2 linked regions of the Struthio camelus genome follow. Each later gene encodes a partner of the first gene's protein in a complex. Links are inferred from orthologs where the notes say so. Each region holds a gene or a part of one and is shown in the gene's direction. Other genes may lie near its edges.

Evidence for each region.
Region 2: the proteins of ITCH (region 1) and TXNIP are in contact, whole or in part, in a crystal structure (PDB 5CQ2), measured with the Homo sapiens proteins. The link is inferred for Struthio camelus from reciprocal best matches to the Homo sapiens genes ITCH and TXNIP. Residues at the interface, in NP_001244066.1 of Homo sapiens: Glu485, Arg487, Thr489, Tyr495, Val497, Asp498, His499, Arg502, Thr503, Thr504, Thr505, Tyr506, Leu516; in NP_006463.3 of Homo sapiens: Pro328, Glu329, Ala330, Pro331, Pro332, Cys333, Tyr334, Val337, Ile338.

Annotation. Positions count from the first base shown.
Region 1 is NC_090959.1:3,742,907-3,750,807, forward strand, and holds the start of ITCH (E3 ubiquitin-protein ligase Itchy homolog), read left to right. Parts: upstream 1-4,872; 5' UTR 4,873-4,960; intron 4,961-7,901. UniProt on the Homo sapiens protein: Acts as an Acts as an E3 ubiquitin-protein ligase which accepts ubiquitin from an E2 ubiquitin-conjugating enzyme in the form of a thioester and then directly transfers the ubiquitin to targeted substrates.
Region 2 is NC_090971.1:3,047,449-3,055,498, forward strand, and holds the start of TXNIP (thioredoxin-interacting protein), read left to right. Parts: upstream 1-4,978; 5' UTR 4,979-5,235; coding exon 5,236-5,485; intron 5,486-6,553; coding exon 6,554-6,626; intron 6,627-6,742; coding exon 6,743-6,890; intron 6,891-7,265; coding exon 7,266-7,368; intron 7,369-7,554; coding exon 7,555-7,811; intron 7,812-7,918; coding exon 7,919-8,050. UniProt on the Homo sapiens protein: May act as an oxidative stress mediator by inhibiting thioredoxin activity or by limiting its bioavailability.

The DNA of each region.
Region 1 (7,901 bases):
GGCTTTGTTCATTTTTTCTGCAGATAACAGGAAGTAATTTCTCTTTTCCTACTAATACTTTTCTATATCTCAAGTCAAAGTTATCAGTTCAGATTTTAAAGGCAATTAGAAATGGACACACTCTGATGTGGTATTAGAAATAGACACACTCTGACATGGTATTTTTATCTTCATGAGGGAAATCGTGAGTTCAGACTCTGATAGCAAGGCAGAACAACAACAATTCTCTTACAGATGGTAACTTCAAAATAAGAAGTCTGATTTTAAATTATTAATCACTTGCTGGAATAATTACCTAGCTGACAAAGACCGTAGAAGACTTATTTCTAAAGAAGACTTACTTTACAGTTGTTTATAAAGTGCTTTAAAATCTGATAATGAAAAATGCTGTGAAAAATGAAATAGTCATGCATTTATTAATGATGAGCTTTACAAAGCCTTCAATCAGGTAGAAGTGTTAAGCTACTGTTAAAGATTTAAAATAGCTCTTCAGCTAATGGATGCTGGTGACTACTGATGACATCTGATGACTACTCAATACTCATTGTATGATATTTGCTTGGGGCTGTGTCTGTCCCCAGGTGGATAAGCATAAACTGTTTCCATGGACAGATGGTCGCTGTGGTCTCTTCAGTACCAGGACTGGCTTTATGTTATCAACTTATTTAGTATTAGTGGACGGAGATCCTAACCCACAGTGGACAAAAACTTTGTGAAACTCAGCAATGACAAATGCACAGTCCTGCCCTGGGAGGGAATAACCCCATGCAGCAGGACACGCTCTGGGTGACTGCCTAGAGCAGTTCTGTATAAGAGGCCCTGGGATCTTGGTGGACAACAAGTTGAGCAGGAGTCCAGTGCGCCACTGTGGCAAAGAAGGCCAACCACATCCCCGGCAAGCATGCAGCCAGCAGGAATTTGGCAGTGATAACATTCCTTCTGCAGTGATGTGTCCAGTTTGAGCTCCCCAGTATAAGACAGACACTGACATACTGTTGCGAGTCCAACAGAGGCCACCGAGATGATTGGGGCTGGAGCACAGGATTTAGGAGGAAAGGCTGAGCCAGCGGGGTCTGTTCAGCCTGGAGAAGAGAAGGTGAAGGGGGATCTTACCGCTGTCTGCAACTGCCTGATGGGATGGCGCAGAGAAGACAGAGCCAGACTCTTTATGGAAGTGCACAGGGACAGGACAACAGGCAACAAGTAAAAGTTCCTACAAGTGAAATTCCTGATTAGATGTAAAGAAAAAAATATTCAATATGTGGGTGGTCAAACACTGGACCAGGGGCACAGACAGTCTGTAGGATGTCCCTCCTTGGAGATAGTTAAGTCTCAACTGGACAAGGCCCTGAGCAACATCATCTAAGTTGGACCTAGACTGAGCAGGAGATTGGCCTATTGCCTATAGAGGCCCCTTCCTCCCTAAATTATTCTGTATTTCTGTGATTCTGTGACTGGGTTTGTGTGTGCTAAAACTAACATTAAAACAAAAATAAAAAATTGAGCATTAAATACTTGCCAAAGAGTTGAGAAATCTGGATTATCTTTCCAACTCTGCCAGTGACTTGCTGTGCATTCTTGAGCAAATTATGTAATCTTGGAAAGAACAGGCTTGTCATCTGTGAGGTCCACGGGGACCTGTCGGGTGGGAGTGGAAAAAGAGAGTGAATGAAGGCAGAGTCCATATTAGGAGATGGGATACAATACTCTCAGGATAAGAGAATAAGAGCAGGTCCGGTGCTTCTGTTATGGGGTCTAGTCCCAGCCCCCTAGCTGAAGGATCCTGAGGCTTTGAGGAATCAGAGAGAGCAATCCCCATTTACAGACTCCTGTTCAAAAATCTGATAGAAATGCGATACTTCAGTGATACTGCAGTATTTTTTATTACCACAACATGAAAGATTCAGACATGGAAGTGATTCATACAGCTCTACACAATACAGACGGTCATCCTGAGTGGTTTCCCAGTCAACTCCAAGCAGCAATAGCACTAACCCACTGTGCTAGATATGGCTGTAACAACACAGTCAAGACCACACTAGTGATTTGAATATTATTATTTACAATAGCATCTAGAGGCCCAACTGAGAAAAAAGCACTGTATATATTTTGCTAGGCCACAAGAAATAATCATTCTCCCAGAGACCTTAAAATCTAAAGAGATAGGACTGACAAAGAATGGGAAAAAATATCATCAACCATCTGTATTATCTCTCCGAAAACAGTTCACAGAAGCTTTGTTTGACCATATCAAGTCTAGCAAATGTGAAAAGCTAAAAGGTTTGTACAGCTTTCCCGAACTCCTTTTTACAAGATCATTCTGACAGTTGTTGCAAACTTTCTCAGTCTGTTGGGGTTTTTAGCAGTCAAAACGAAGCTTTGACAGAGAATAGCAAGAAAATTCCACTCTGTCTCAGTATCTTGCAGTAATCAAAACCTCAAGTATAGCGAAAAAAAAAATCAGCCTTCTCCTTTCCCCAAATAAGTAAAAAGCAGCAGAAATTGTAAGGAGCATATGAAAGAATAGGTAAACTCTTAGATATGCAGCTCTTCTGCTGCTCCATTAAATTCGTTTGTGCTTGCAACATTGTTCTAGTGTTAATTCATTATTTGATGTTCCAGTTCACTGATAGAGCCTGACTTTTAACAGAAAAAATGATCTCTGGGTGAGTCTGAATGTAAAGATTGCATTAAGTTCATCTTGTCCTGGCAAGCATGAACTAATCGGTAGTCTGTGCACCTAGAATGTGTTTTCTTTCTCATTACTTTTACAGAGCAGCCAGCACCAATGTAACTTGATTTGAGTATCAGCAGGTTAAAAAGATTAGGGTTGCCGAGGCTGAACAGTAACACTTTTCTGAAATGCCAGTTACAGAAGGAGGAAAAAATTCTTACAAAGAGGGAAATTGAGTGGTGTCCTTGAAAAGAGCCACTGGATGTATTTAATCTACCTCTGCTTTAGCAACCTGTACCTTGGAAACCTAAAAATTAGCAAAACAGAAGTAGGGACTGCAAACGGCCAAGCTGCCCAAGCAATATATGCACATCTGTTGAAGTCTATAGGAGTCACACATACATGTGTTTGTGGCAGCATTTAGCTTTTTTCTGCAAACATTAAACTTCCACTAATGTCAACAAGAATTCAGATGCCTGGGAACATGCTTATTGTTGTCATGTTCCTACAGTTTTGGGAATCAAACTACAGGTACTCTGCAAAAACAAGCCCAATGTTATATATCAGCTGTGGGACAGAACAAATACACTGTAAAGGAAACCCAGCTCTGCAGATGTGGAACTCCAGCTAAGATCGGCAATAAGGATGTGTACCACAGCAGCGGATGAGAGGTGACTGCTTAAATAGATGATGCATGAGAGAGAAACTCCACATGTGTAATACTTGCAGAAATTCATTTTTATTATTATTTGAGTGGACCACTGTAAATAAGTAACTGTAAATATGTGTATGCGTATGTGTAGTCAAATATCTGTAAAGGAATGTGAAAACTTAAAGGTGCATGGAAAGACGCTATTGGAAAAAAAAAAAAAAAAACTCCCAACATTTCTTTCAGCCATTCAGTTTGTTTGCTTCTTATACCGGGTTGTAACCTCGTCTTCAAACCTGCTTCCCAGGGACGTACATTTTTCTGACAAATGCCCACGCTCTTCTGACTTCTTGGTACTTACAGACTCTGAGTCAGCAGCAGGGAGGGTTCTGTGCTGAAATGAAAGTGACTGCTGTGTTTGAAGTCATATGCATGTTTACCTTGCTCTGCCATAACTGGGGATTGCTAATTGGCATTGAAAGGTAATTATTATTCTGCCAAGGGAAAACAAGCTGAGCTGTTTTCCAGCTTAGGCCCTCCCCAGTAGAAATGCTAACTGAAGTCTAGCTGTGGGATCTTTACGAAGGGAGTTCATGTGCAAGCTAGGGAAGACAAGTTGACTTTTCAGATCCCTAGGAGTTACCAAAAACCCCCTCCGACCTTTGCACTTGTAAAGTGAGCAGTTTTACTAAAAAATTCGTGAGGATCTGCTCCCGCTTTTTGAAAATTACGAAGAGCCTTTTTCTCTCATTTCGGAGCAGGGGAACTGAACTTGCAAATCCCACTTTTAAAAGAGGAAGCGTTTTGCTGCTTTCTCTGTGCTCAGTTACGCAATTGTGCGTTCCAGTTGTGCAAAAACAGTCACTTTAAACAAGAAAGGCTTTTATACCAAGATTAAATGAGACAAATGTCAGCAGCGGGCACGTCTCACAGCGCCTGCTGCTGCTTGACGGGGAGGGGGGGGACGCGGACACTCGGGTCACGCAGCGCAGCGCTCCCGCCCGCGCCATCGCAAGCGGCCCGGCCGAATCGGCGTGTGCTGGAGCCACCCAGAGCCACGGCTGCCCCCAGTGCGTTAAGGCACTTGTATAACTTCAGACTAGCGTTAGCCTCGCGCCCAGGGTGGTCAGCACGACTTTTAGACATTTTCGAGCATTTTTCAAGTACGTATGTATCTGTACGGCCGCACAGGTGTCTTCATGCGCGCGCACAGCTGTGGCGCGGGCAGGGGGAGCAGGCCCAGGCGGGTGGAGGGTCTCTGCTGTTTGCGGAGCCTCACCGGAGCGGAGCGGTGCCGCCCGCCCCGGCCGCGCGCTCCCGCGCGCTCCCGCCGGCTCCGTGCCGCCCGCCCCGGCCGCGCGCTCCCGCCGGCTCCGTGCCGCCCGCCCCGGCCGCCCGAGGCCTCCAGCCGCTCCCGCCCGCGTCTCCCCTCCTCAGAACGGAACGCCGACGCGCGCATGCGCGGCGCCTGGCGCGGCGCACGCCGGGACTTGTAGTCAGCGCGCGGCCGCGGCCCCTGGGCGACTCCGCGCGTGCGCGCGACCCGCCCGACTTCGGAAAGTCGCTGCCTCAGGTTGGGTCAGAACCGGCTGCCATCTTGGCCGACGGACGGAGGAGCTGCTACGCCGCCGTGCCCGGTGAGGGGAGCGGGACGTCCGCGCCCTGCGGGGAGGCGGCAAGGGCGCAGGAGGAGGCGGCGGCGGTGGTGGGAACGGGACCCCGCGGGGCGGCGCGGGCCGAGGCCTTGGCCCCGCTGCTCTCGCCGGCTCGCAGCTCGGCGCGGAGCCGGCGGGGCGCGGGGGCCCCGGCGGGCGTAGGCCTGGCTTCTCGGGGGGCTTCTCGCCCCCAGCCGGCCTCGCTGCGGGGGGCCCTGCCCTGCCGCCGCGCTGCCTCGCCGTGCCCCGGCGGAGGCAGCTCTCGCGACGGGGGGCGGGACGGCACGGGACGGCACGGCAGCATCGTCGCTGGCCCGGGGCACCGGGTGGCGGTCCCGGGGCCCCGGCGCTCCGCCGCGAGGGCTGCCTGCGGCCGGGCCCTGCTCCGGCGCTGCCGGCCCGCGCCGCGCGGCCCAGCTGCGGTGGGGCCGCTGCCCGTAGCCCGGCCCGGGGCGGCCGTTTCCCACAGCACTGCGTGCTTTGCCCCGGTTCTCTGCTATCGGGTTTGCTCCCCTCCCCGGTCAGTCCCTGCCTTCCTTGCCGCTGAGATCCGTCCCTACACTGTAGCCCTCTGAGGGCTTTGGGGACTCGCTCCCGTCAGAGGCTTTGCTTTCCGGCAGAGCTTCCGCGCCGCAGCCCTCTCTCCAGCCTTTGTGCTCAGCCCTCCCCGAGGAGCCCGTCCCTGCTCTTGGGGTCCCTGCCTAGGTGAGGCTGCTGCTGCCGCCGCCGTTTTGCAGGGGTTCACTTTGTCTCCTCAAGGTACACTCGTGGCTTAAAGTAGTGATCCCGAGCGGCAAAGCGTGAGCATAGCTGGAGGTTTATACTGAACTGTGTTCCTTCTTGTAAACATAGCCGACTGGCAGCACTGGTGCCACCGTTTTATTTTGGAAACATTGATAAGTTCTGGCTGTTAACCCTCCCACTTCCAGATGGGTGTCTTTGACCTTGTGTGGCAATAATAGCCAAGTAAAAGGAGAAGAAGAGGTTTATGTAGATAAAGGCTGCCTTTGTTTAGTTGGCTCTGAAATCCGAGGATTTTTGTTTTAATAGCTATAATTTGTCACCCAAAATTGACAATTTCAGATGTGTGTGTGTGATGCGGAGAGAAAAACGAGTGGAGTACGTGGATGTATGTTGTCATTTGTATGACTTCCTTTACCCTTCAAGCTTCAGAAAATGTCCCCAGCAAAACTAATCTTTATAGCTTAGTTAAAATTGAAGAAATCAGAAACCAGAGCCTTCTAGACTATCTTTTCGCAAGATATTATTGTTTATTTTGGCGAGTTTCTCATTGCTTTCTTCCATCTCTGCTACCTTGTCACTTCTATTCATAGAGAAAAGCAGAGAATTCTGGACTGATATTCATGAGAAGATAGTCAGTATGACAGTAGATCCAGCCACTGAATCTATCTGAAAAAGGCATAGATGTTTAGGAATGAAGCATCAAACGGAATCTGTCATCAGCTCTCAGAAACTTAATGCTGTAAAATGCATCTTGTTTGAAAACACGAATTTAAGGCTCTGTTCTCTCTTCTTACAGTGAAAGTCTAAAGCAGTTCTGATTTAATTACAGTTACGTTGCTCTTTGCTACAGCTGTTTAAATCTGAACTTGGTCTAGTGTGCATTCTTAGTTGTGGTTTGACTGACAGTTTTAATCACCACTCTGAATGCATTCACTTCCAAGCAATCATCGGAATAATATGCAGCATTCTGATCCTAAGTGAATTTTCTTATCTTTTAAGCAAAGAACTGATCCAATACATGTGAAAGATGGTGTTGCAGTGGAAAATCACTGAGACTTCTGAGTGCTAACTTTGAAAGCTTCTTACAGATTAAACAGTTATTTTAGTGCTTAAGAGAGACTGAGAGAAGATTATTTATATGAATTTATTACTTAAGCAACATCACCTCACTTTTATTTCACTCTTATCTCTGCCTGTGTAAAGTTCTGTTTCTTCTGTGGTGAAACAGACCTGAAATATGAAGCTGTCTTGTTTATTTGTTTAAAAGTTTCAAAAAGGTTTGGGGAAGCTATCAGCAGAATAAGCGAGGTAATAGGAGGATATGTGTTAAGTAGCATAATGTTCTCTGTTGTAGAGGTTACATCTATCACTGTTTTTAAGAAAGCTTGTCCTTAGGACTGCTTTAAAGCTAGATGTGCTTCTTCAGTGTTTTGCAAAATAAATGTATATCCTTCTATTTTGTGGCATACCCAATAGTTAAATCACTTCTCAACAGTCTTACCAGTTCATGTCTGTTGATGATAGCATCCAAACAAACATTTTGTAAATTTGAAGTTGTTTAAGCAAAGCTCTAAACTTATTCAACCATGGTAAAATGCTTTTCATATTGCAGCAGAAAACAATTTTATCTCTGCTTTAAAACAAGGAAAATAATATATTAAGTTAGAGGAGAAAAACTCATTGTAAAGGATAATGATGAGACTTCTGCGAGTACTACCACTGTTGCTACTTATTTTTAAGCCTCACTGTTTGGCTATCCAGTTATGCTTACTTAATGTTCTAATTTTTGTCAGTCTGCTTTATTTAGATCTAGAAGGAGGAACTACTTTGTGCCTTTACACCTAAGAAGAGGGAACGTGCGTGCGTAGCTGAGAGGAGAGCATTTATATAGCTTTGCCCAGCTATAGAAGTGCTTTGAAGAGTGTGTTTGCCTCAGAAGAGGAAGTAGACAAGCTGTGATTATAATCTTGCTCGAGAGTATTCTGTTTTTCTAGATATTTACTTTATGCTAGCTCATAAAATGAGTATTTTTAAAGGTTTTAGGCAATCTACTTGCTTGTTTTCATTCTTTAGCTATAGTTTGAATTATCTGATTCTGTGCCCACGTTTTAGAGATGGAGAGGTGATTTTTATTTACTCTCATCCAGATAATAAAGCAATAAGGACTCGAGCATTTTTT
Region 2 (8,050 bases), on another chromosome or scaffold:
AAGCATGTGAGATCAATGAGGGTGCAGGCAGTATGGGAAGGGACTTCCTAGCTCCCGGTTTTAGCCGCCTCACCTGGGTATCTAGATTAGGGACCTTGTTTGGGGTCAGCCTCTCCAGGGGAGATGCCCTTGTACCCCGCAACTGATGGACTCTGAGCCCATTGGCACTGGCTGGAGGCAAGGACAAGGCTGACCATTGCGCTGGGCCCAGGGAAAGCTGCGTGTGGGTTTGCCTTGGCTACTGAAGAGCAAGAAATCTTCCTTCTTCCTTTGCCCCTTCCAGCATCCGTGGGCCCCTGCTGCGGTCTTTCAAGGGACAGCTGGAGGGAGTGGGGAACGAAGGTCAGGAAATCTTTGGCTATAAAATACTGTTTCCTCTGTTAATAACATCTGACCAACACCAAAAGACAAAGAGGACCAGGTGGATCAGTTTTGCACAGTGACAAGTTGGAGACTTTTTCTTAAAAGAGGGCATAGGGCGAGGGAGCAGAGCGCGGCCACGCAGCCACTGCCGAACACCAGAAGAGGACAGGCTCTCCCAGCCTGAGCAAGGAGGCAGCTGGTGCGACTGAGTCTTACTGCCCAGAGCACGTGAAAGACATGGGACTTCCCAGAGTCGGCACTCAAATTCCTCCTTGTTTGTGGACGGCTGAATTCGGTCTCAGGCACAGGCTGCTGACGCTCGGCTCTGGCTTTCTCCTCCTTATTGCAAAATCGCAGTCTGGCAAGAGTAACAGTGAAGACATCCCACCGCAGCAAAAAAAAAAAAAAAACATCCGCTGAAAAGAATTTTTTTCACATCGCACTCCTGGCAAGAGCTGGAAACCTGGGACCCTGAGGAAAGTCCTCACACCGGATCCCTGAGGGGCCTTCTCCCCATTTAGCTGGGAAGGGGAAGGAGAAAAGGGGATCTCAAGCTGTGACACATATGCCATAAGGCATTTCAACACGGTACATAGCCTACACAGCACCAGGAATTACTGCCAGTGGTGACACAAGCCATTGCTGTTGCCCATGGACAAACCCAGCAAAAAGTTGCTTTGGGAAACCTGCGATGGGGATCTGCCCTGTGTGACCTGAGAGCTTTCAAGATCATTTCATGTAGGTCCCTGCAGAGCTGTTTTACAGTACCCCAGCAGGGTTGTGCCGCCGTGTCTCAAAATTAGGCACTGCAAGCCTTAATGGCTTCATCAAAACTTTCATTTTATTCAGAAACTCAAAGTGAATCGCTCCCCTCGCTTCCCTGCTTCCGTGTTTCTGCCAAATTTCAAGCTTGGACCACTGCAGGCAGCCCTTTACGCTGTCAAAGTAGTACTGAAGTCAGCCACAGTCAAACTTGAGCAGCGAGAAGATAAGGGTGGGATAGAGGTGGCTTTCCAGGAGTCACAGGAGTCCCTTGGTCCCTTGTTTTCCAGCTGCAGGGACACACACCCAGCACAATCAGCGTGGGATTGTCAAGTGCTGCTCGCTGTACATACATAGGCCAATTCTCCATCCCAAGCCTCAGCTAATCCCTTCCCACCCTGGCCAAAGGAAATGCCTTTTCCGCCCCAGCTCTCGTTCCCGTTCGCACGACAGGCACACTCTGTCCCTTTGCTCCGGCCATTGGGAATCCCTTCACGTCCCTCTCTTCCCCTCCCCGCCTCGAATTTGCTGGAAGCAACCATATATGGTGAAAAATGGAGAAAACGGCACCAGGAAGCTACTGGAAGCTCTGCACAAGGCAGCAGCCTCTGGGCAGCCAGGCAGCAAACTCTCGCAGTGCTTTTCAGAGGCGGGAGCCAGTTATCTAGGCTGAGATGATAGACGGGGCAAAGGATGGCTGGCGACAAGAGGAGCGTGATTGCTCCAGGCAACAGCAGCCAGGGACTCCTGGTAACCAAGACCAGGAAATAAAGGCTTTTATGAGTGCTCTTGTGCATCAGGGTTGTGTTACAGGCACGATTCAGATCGATCATGGGCAGGGGGGCAGTTTTCAGCAAAAACCTTACGTTGCTGGTATGGAGCGTGATTTGTGCTGCCCAGTTTCTGCCTCACCTAATCGCTTCCCCATGACCCACTCAACAGCCCCTGCTGTCAGTGAGTCATCTCAGGGCATGGTTTCTAACTCGGCCCTTCCCTGCTCTTCAGGGTTGGGTTATCCCCGACACATCCAGTTAGTCATGCAACTCTCCCTTCCGTCACTAGCCCATGGCCAGCGAGGAGAAGGCTCTGGGCCGCTCTCCCCATCCGCCTGGATGGCACTGGCCCCAGGGCTGACTTTTCCCCTTCCTTGTGTCCACCACCAAGGCTGGAGGGATCCTCCAAGCAACATGTTGCCAGGGGAAAACAAGCTGAGGGGGGGACCGAGGCCTTAAAAAAATTGCTTAGGAGAAGGGAGGAAGCGCCCAAGAGCTGGTCTCTGCCCAAAACCATAACCGGCTTCTCTTTGATATCATTCTTTTTAAAGAGACGTGACATTTTGAAGCTTTTGTTTTACAGGCTAAAATTCCTCTGCGTTTCCAAGTCCCTTGCTTAATCCAGGGTGCTGCTTGCGTGGGAAACCTTGTGAACCGAGTCTCATCCTGAGGAAGTTGCAGCTGCTCCTCCTTCAGTGGAGAGACCACAGAGGCCTTTCCAGTCAGATGGAGGTCAGGGGAGCAAAGGGCAGAAGCTGATGGACAGATAAAAAGAAACTTGGAGAGGATCCAGGCTTTGAAACGTGCCTTGGACCATATCTCTGGCAAGCCGAGGACTTCATCGCCCTTTGACATCGCTGGAATGCATTTGACAGTTGGGGAGAAAGCCACCATGGGCTGGAAGAGCCAGGTTGGAGACCTCTTTCTTGGGAGACCTGCACCGAGGGAAACCAGAGACGGGGAGCGCAAACACGGATCCCAAAGGAACGCAAGGGTGCGAGCGGGCCAAGAACCAAATTGAGGTCTTTGGGATCGCGTATCCCATAGCTGGCAAGGCTGCAAAGAGAGCTCGGCTCGTTTCGCCAAATTAGAGCAAATCCGTAATTCTTGTGAGCCCGGGGACCTTCTCCCTAGCAAGGGACAACGGGGAGAGCTTGTCAGGACCAGACCTGCAGCAGGAAAAGGCGCACGTCCTCCATTGCGCACCTCACTGCAAAAGAGTTCTCTAGCAGCGAGGAAATTTGTCCTGCAGTTTGGCAGGCGATCAGCTTACACCCCGCAAGTTTATCTGACCATTTTTATCAGTTTATGCTAACAGGTGTGAATTAACTTTGAGGGACGGAGAGGAGGGCAAAGAAATAAAAGCACGGCGCGCGGCAGAAAGGCACGGACAAACAAGCGCCATATCAGAGGGCAAAGGACAACCGAGACAACACCGAACAAAAACACATCCCTTTCCTCGGCGGGGGGGAAGGAAGGTCTTTAGAGTCCCCCCCCACCCCACACACACACCCTGTTTCCACTCCTGCCTTTTTATGGCTCATTTAGTGGCTCCAGAAATATTACCCTCCCGTTTCCTCCCCTCTCCATGCCTGCTTTCCTGAACTGCGAAAGCATTAATCGCTCTTAAAACCCATGACAAAACAGCCTGTCGGGGAGGAACGTGTGTGCTCAGCACGACCACGCACAAATTACAATTCAAGGGTTTCTCCCAGTTAAAAGCCCCACGGGGCAGCGACACGGGTGATACGGTGTCACCCGCTCCCCAAATCCCTGCCGGGGGTATGGGGGCAAGGAGCGGGGGGTCTGCCCTTGACACGGCTCGAAACATCCCGAAGCGGAGTGGGGGGGGGGGACACGAAAGAGGGTGTAAGATGTCCCCTTTTGGCAGATGACGGTCCGATGAGTAATTCTGCTAAAACTCCTGGTGGGGAGGGGGACGTGGCTGCCCCGGGGGGGTGTCACTGGGGGTTTGGGGGGTGGGGGCCACCCTGGAGGGATGGAGATGGACTGAGAGGTGTCCCCCCCCCCACAGGGTGAGGCTTTCTCTTCTCTACCCCAATCCTGCCCTAATTCGCCCCAAATTACAGTGGGGGGAAGCAGAAGGGGGGCTGTGGAAACGCCACAGCTCACTGGGGGTTTGGGGGGGGGGGTCACAGACAGCAGCGGGGGTGGGGGCCACCCTGGAGGGATGGGGACAGACTGAGAGGTTCCTCCCCCCCCCCCCCAGGGTGAGGCTTTCTCTTCCCTTCCCCAATCCTGCCCTTATTCGCCCCAAATTACGGTGGGGGGAAGCAGAAGGGGGGCTGTGGAAACGCTGCAACTCACCGGGGCTTTGGGGGGGTGGGGGCCACCCTGGAGGGATGGGGACGGACTGAGAGGTTCCCCCCCCCACAGGGAGAGGCTTTCTCTTCCTTACCCCAATCCTGCCCTTATTCGCCCCAAATTACGGTGGGGGGAAGCAGAGGGGGGCTGTGGAAACGCCGCAACTGCCTGACGGGGGGGGGGTGTGGAAATGCCCCCAAACAGAGCTGGGGGGGGGGAAACACCCTCAGTGGGGTGAGGGGAGCCCCAGAGCCCTGTGAGGACCGCCCCAGTTCAACCAGTACCAGAGAGCCCGTCACAGTACGGCTCGTCCTGGCCGCTGCCCCCGAGCCCGCGCATCATGAGGGGGGGCTCAACCCCCCCCCCTCCCGCCCTGCCGTCCCCACAAGGAACATTACATCCTGTTCCCCGCTCACCACTGGCTCCCGCCTCCCCCGTCCTCGCTCGCCATTGGCCAGCCGCGCCGTCACTCCGTCCCCTCTCCCACTCTTGCACCCTTCCATTCTCCCGCCCTCCTGCCTGCTTCTCCGCCGCACACGCTCTCCTCTCCTTCACAAGCTGTCCACGCTCCGCACCCGGCGCGCCGATTGGCCGGCGGGGGTGTAAACAACGCGGCGGCGACCAATGGGAGCGCTGATCACGCGAGCAGCACGCTTGGCCATGCGCCCTCGGCGTGGCGCTCTTGTCATCAACAAGTGCGGGAGGGGGGAGGGCGGGGAGGCGGAGGCTATAAAAGGCCGCGTCCGGCGGGGGCCGGGCTCACACCGTTGAGGGCCGAGAGCGGAGCGGCGGGCTGCAGCAGGCGGAGGCAGCGCATCCCTTCTGCCCCACAGCTGCTAGGGAGGAAAAGGTTGACCTTTAGACTAAATTCTGACTAAAAATCAACCTTCCCGAGGTATTTTTTCCCCTCGGTTGTTGCCGTTGAGGGGGGGAAAAAAAAGCACAAAAACTGCCCAGCGTGCGCAGCTCCTTGCCTCGTCCTCAAGAGCGTCTCCCACCCTTCACCTCAGCCATGGTGATGTTCAAGAAAGTCAAGACCTTCCTCGTGGCTTTCAGCGAGCCTGAGAAGGTCTACTGCAGTGGGGAGAAGGTGGCAGGGCGCGTGGTGGTGGAGGTGGCTGAGGTCACCCGCGTCAGCGCCGTCAAAGTGCTGGCCTGCGGCGTGGCCAAAGTCAACTGGGCCAAGGGCCCCCAGCAGTGCAAGCAGGAGATGGAGTACCTGCGCTTCGAGGACGTGCTCACCCTGGAGGAGCAGCCCACTGGTGAGGACCTGGGGCTGGGAAAGGAGGGGTTGGGGGCAAAAGGTGGTGGGGAGCGGGCGGGGAGTGGGTTGGAAGTAATCACCAGCTTTGCCTGCTGGTTGTTGCCCTTCCGCAAGGGGCTGGGTTGAGTCTCCTGGTTGTGCCCGCATTGACGGGGCTAAAGCAGAAATGCTACTTTGAAGAGTTGGCATATTTGGCTGGTGAAAGGAAAAGGGAATTTAATGTTGGCCAAGTGAACTGGTTGAACCCTTGGAAACGGATGAAGGGCAAAACAGGACTCAGCTAGGCTGCAGGTTAGAGTTGGAAAACTTAGGGCTGCTGTGCTCTATCCGGAGCCCGAAACAAAAGTGAGATGGGGTGCTTGTCGGAGCGTACAAAAGACGTTAGGCATTGATGCGGCTGGCTTGGCTTGCCCAACAGGCAGTGATGCTCTGTGCCTGCAGGGAACGAGTACTGAGATTGGCTTTGGCCGGATGTCACTGTGGCAGGAGGTGCCTCTGAGTTCAGTACAGTGGCTGGTACAGTGCACGGGACAGGTGGTCAGAGAGCGGCAAGTCCAGATCTTGTCTGAGCCAAAGAGTCTCAGTCCCTTCCCTGCCTTTATCGCCCTCCCTGTTTGGCTGGCTCTGGGGAAGGCAGAGATAAGCACTTGGCAGGGTGTCTTGGAAGATAAGTGGGGAGACGTGAAATCCTCAAGGTAAACAGATAGTTGGGGAAAGAAGTTAGTACTTTGTACTCCCAGAAAGTGGAAGTAGGATGCGGTAACCAGAGGTAACAGGGTCTGAACTAAAGCCAATCAGGACTTTGTGCCCTGGTTTCAAATGAGGATGTTGAAAGAAGAAGTGAAAGTGTAGTTTAGCAGTACTTCCCTGCCCTGCGAGGACACCAGGTTCTCAGCCTGTTCTTAGGGAACAGGTGTGGGTGGCGCTTACCAAAGAACTAATAGAGCTCTTAATGCCTGCAACACCCGGACTTCATCATAGCCTGTGTAAGCAGAACAGTGGATAATGCTTAGAGCAATACTGCTGGACTTTACCTAATATCTCTCTTCTCCTTTTCTTTTCTCAGATGGGGATGGCTCTGTAATCCTGAGACCTGGAAACAAATATGAATACAAATTTGGATTCGAGCTTCCCCAAGGGTAGGTATTAGACCAGCATTGTCTGAACAAAGTAAAAAAAAAAAGCCTAACCTTAAATTCCTATGGAAAACTGTCTTGTTAGCTCCAATGTGTCTAACAAGTGTGTCTTTTCATAGGCCTCTGGGTACCACCTTCAAGGGAAAGTATGGCTGCGTGGATTATTGGGTGAAGGCTTTCTTGGAGCGCCCATCCTTTCCCACTCAGGAGATAAAGCAGCGCTTTGAGGTTATGGATCCTGTTGATGTGAACACTCCAGAATTACTGGTAAGTGCCAGTTTGTTTTGCCACCTCTGAGAGGTTTGGGTGTCAGTTAGCATTAAGGGATACAAAGGTCCTTAGGTAGGGTCAGTCTGACCTCTGTGGTTAAGACTCCCCCTAATAGGCTTTACTCTTCAGCACAGATTAAATACTTAGTTCTGAAGAACTCTCTAGAAGGCTACACTGAGGCAGGTAGAAGTGAGGCACTGGTTCTGCATTCAGTTAACTGAAAGACACTCAGTCCTCATGGGGAGTGGCAGCGTGAATTTGAGGAAGCTTGAATCACAAAACAGGAGAAGGTGAAGCTCAGGGCTGGAGAGGAGGAATGGGTTGGGAACACCGGGCAGGTTTCATCTGGGTAACGATCTTATTTCTTTTCAGTCTCCAGTTGCTGCCAAGAAGGAGAAGAAGGTGTCCTGTATGTTCATTCCTGATGGCCACGTGTCAGTCAGCGCCCAAATTGACAGAAAGGGATTTTGTGAAGGTAAGAGCCTGTCTCCCCCCCTTAGAAAAGGGAAGGAGCGGGAGCAAAGGGTGAAGGGACAAGCAGTACCTGAGCAAAGGGGCAGTAGTCAGGGGATGTTTAACTAGAAGATCAGTGAAAAACAACAAATACACTTCAAGGAAAAAGTTCTGACCTTCCTAATGCAGAACATCATTCCCTCCTCAGGTGATGAGATCTGCATCAATGCAGACTTTGAGAACACTTGCTCCCGGATTGTGGTGCCCAAAGCAGCCATCATTGCCAAGCACACCTACCTGGCCAATGGGCAGACCAAGGTGTTCACCCAGAAACTCACCTGTGTCCGAGGCAACCACATCATCTCAGGCATGTCCGAGTCCTGGCGAGGCAAAACCATCCGTGTCAAGAAGCTCAAGCCGTCTATCTTGGGCTGCAACATCTTGCGCGTGGAGTATTTCCTGCAGGTGAGTGTCTCTGATGGCTGCTATTGCTCCTCTCATGGTTAGTGGGTAAGCTTTGTCTACGGTTGGTTTCTGTCGTTGCTAACGGCATTCTGGTCTGTACCTTGCAGATCTATGTCAGTGTCCCAGGCTCCAAGAAGATCATCCTGGAACTGCCCCTTGTCATTGGCAGCCGGTCAGGCATTGGTAGCCGCAGCTCCAGCATGGCCAGTCAGACCAGCTCCGAAATGAGTTGGGTGGAC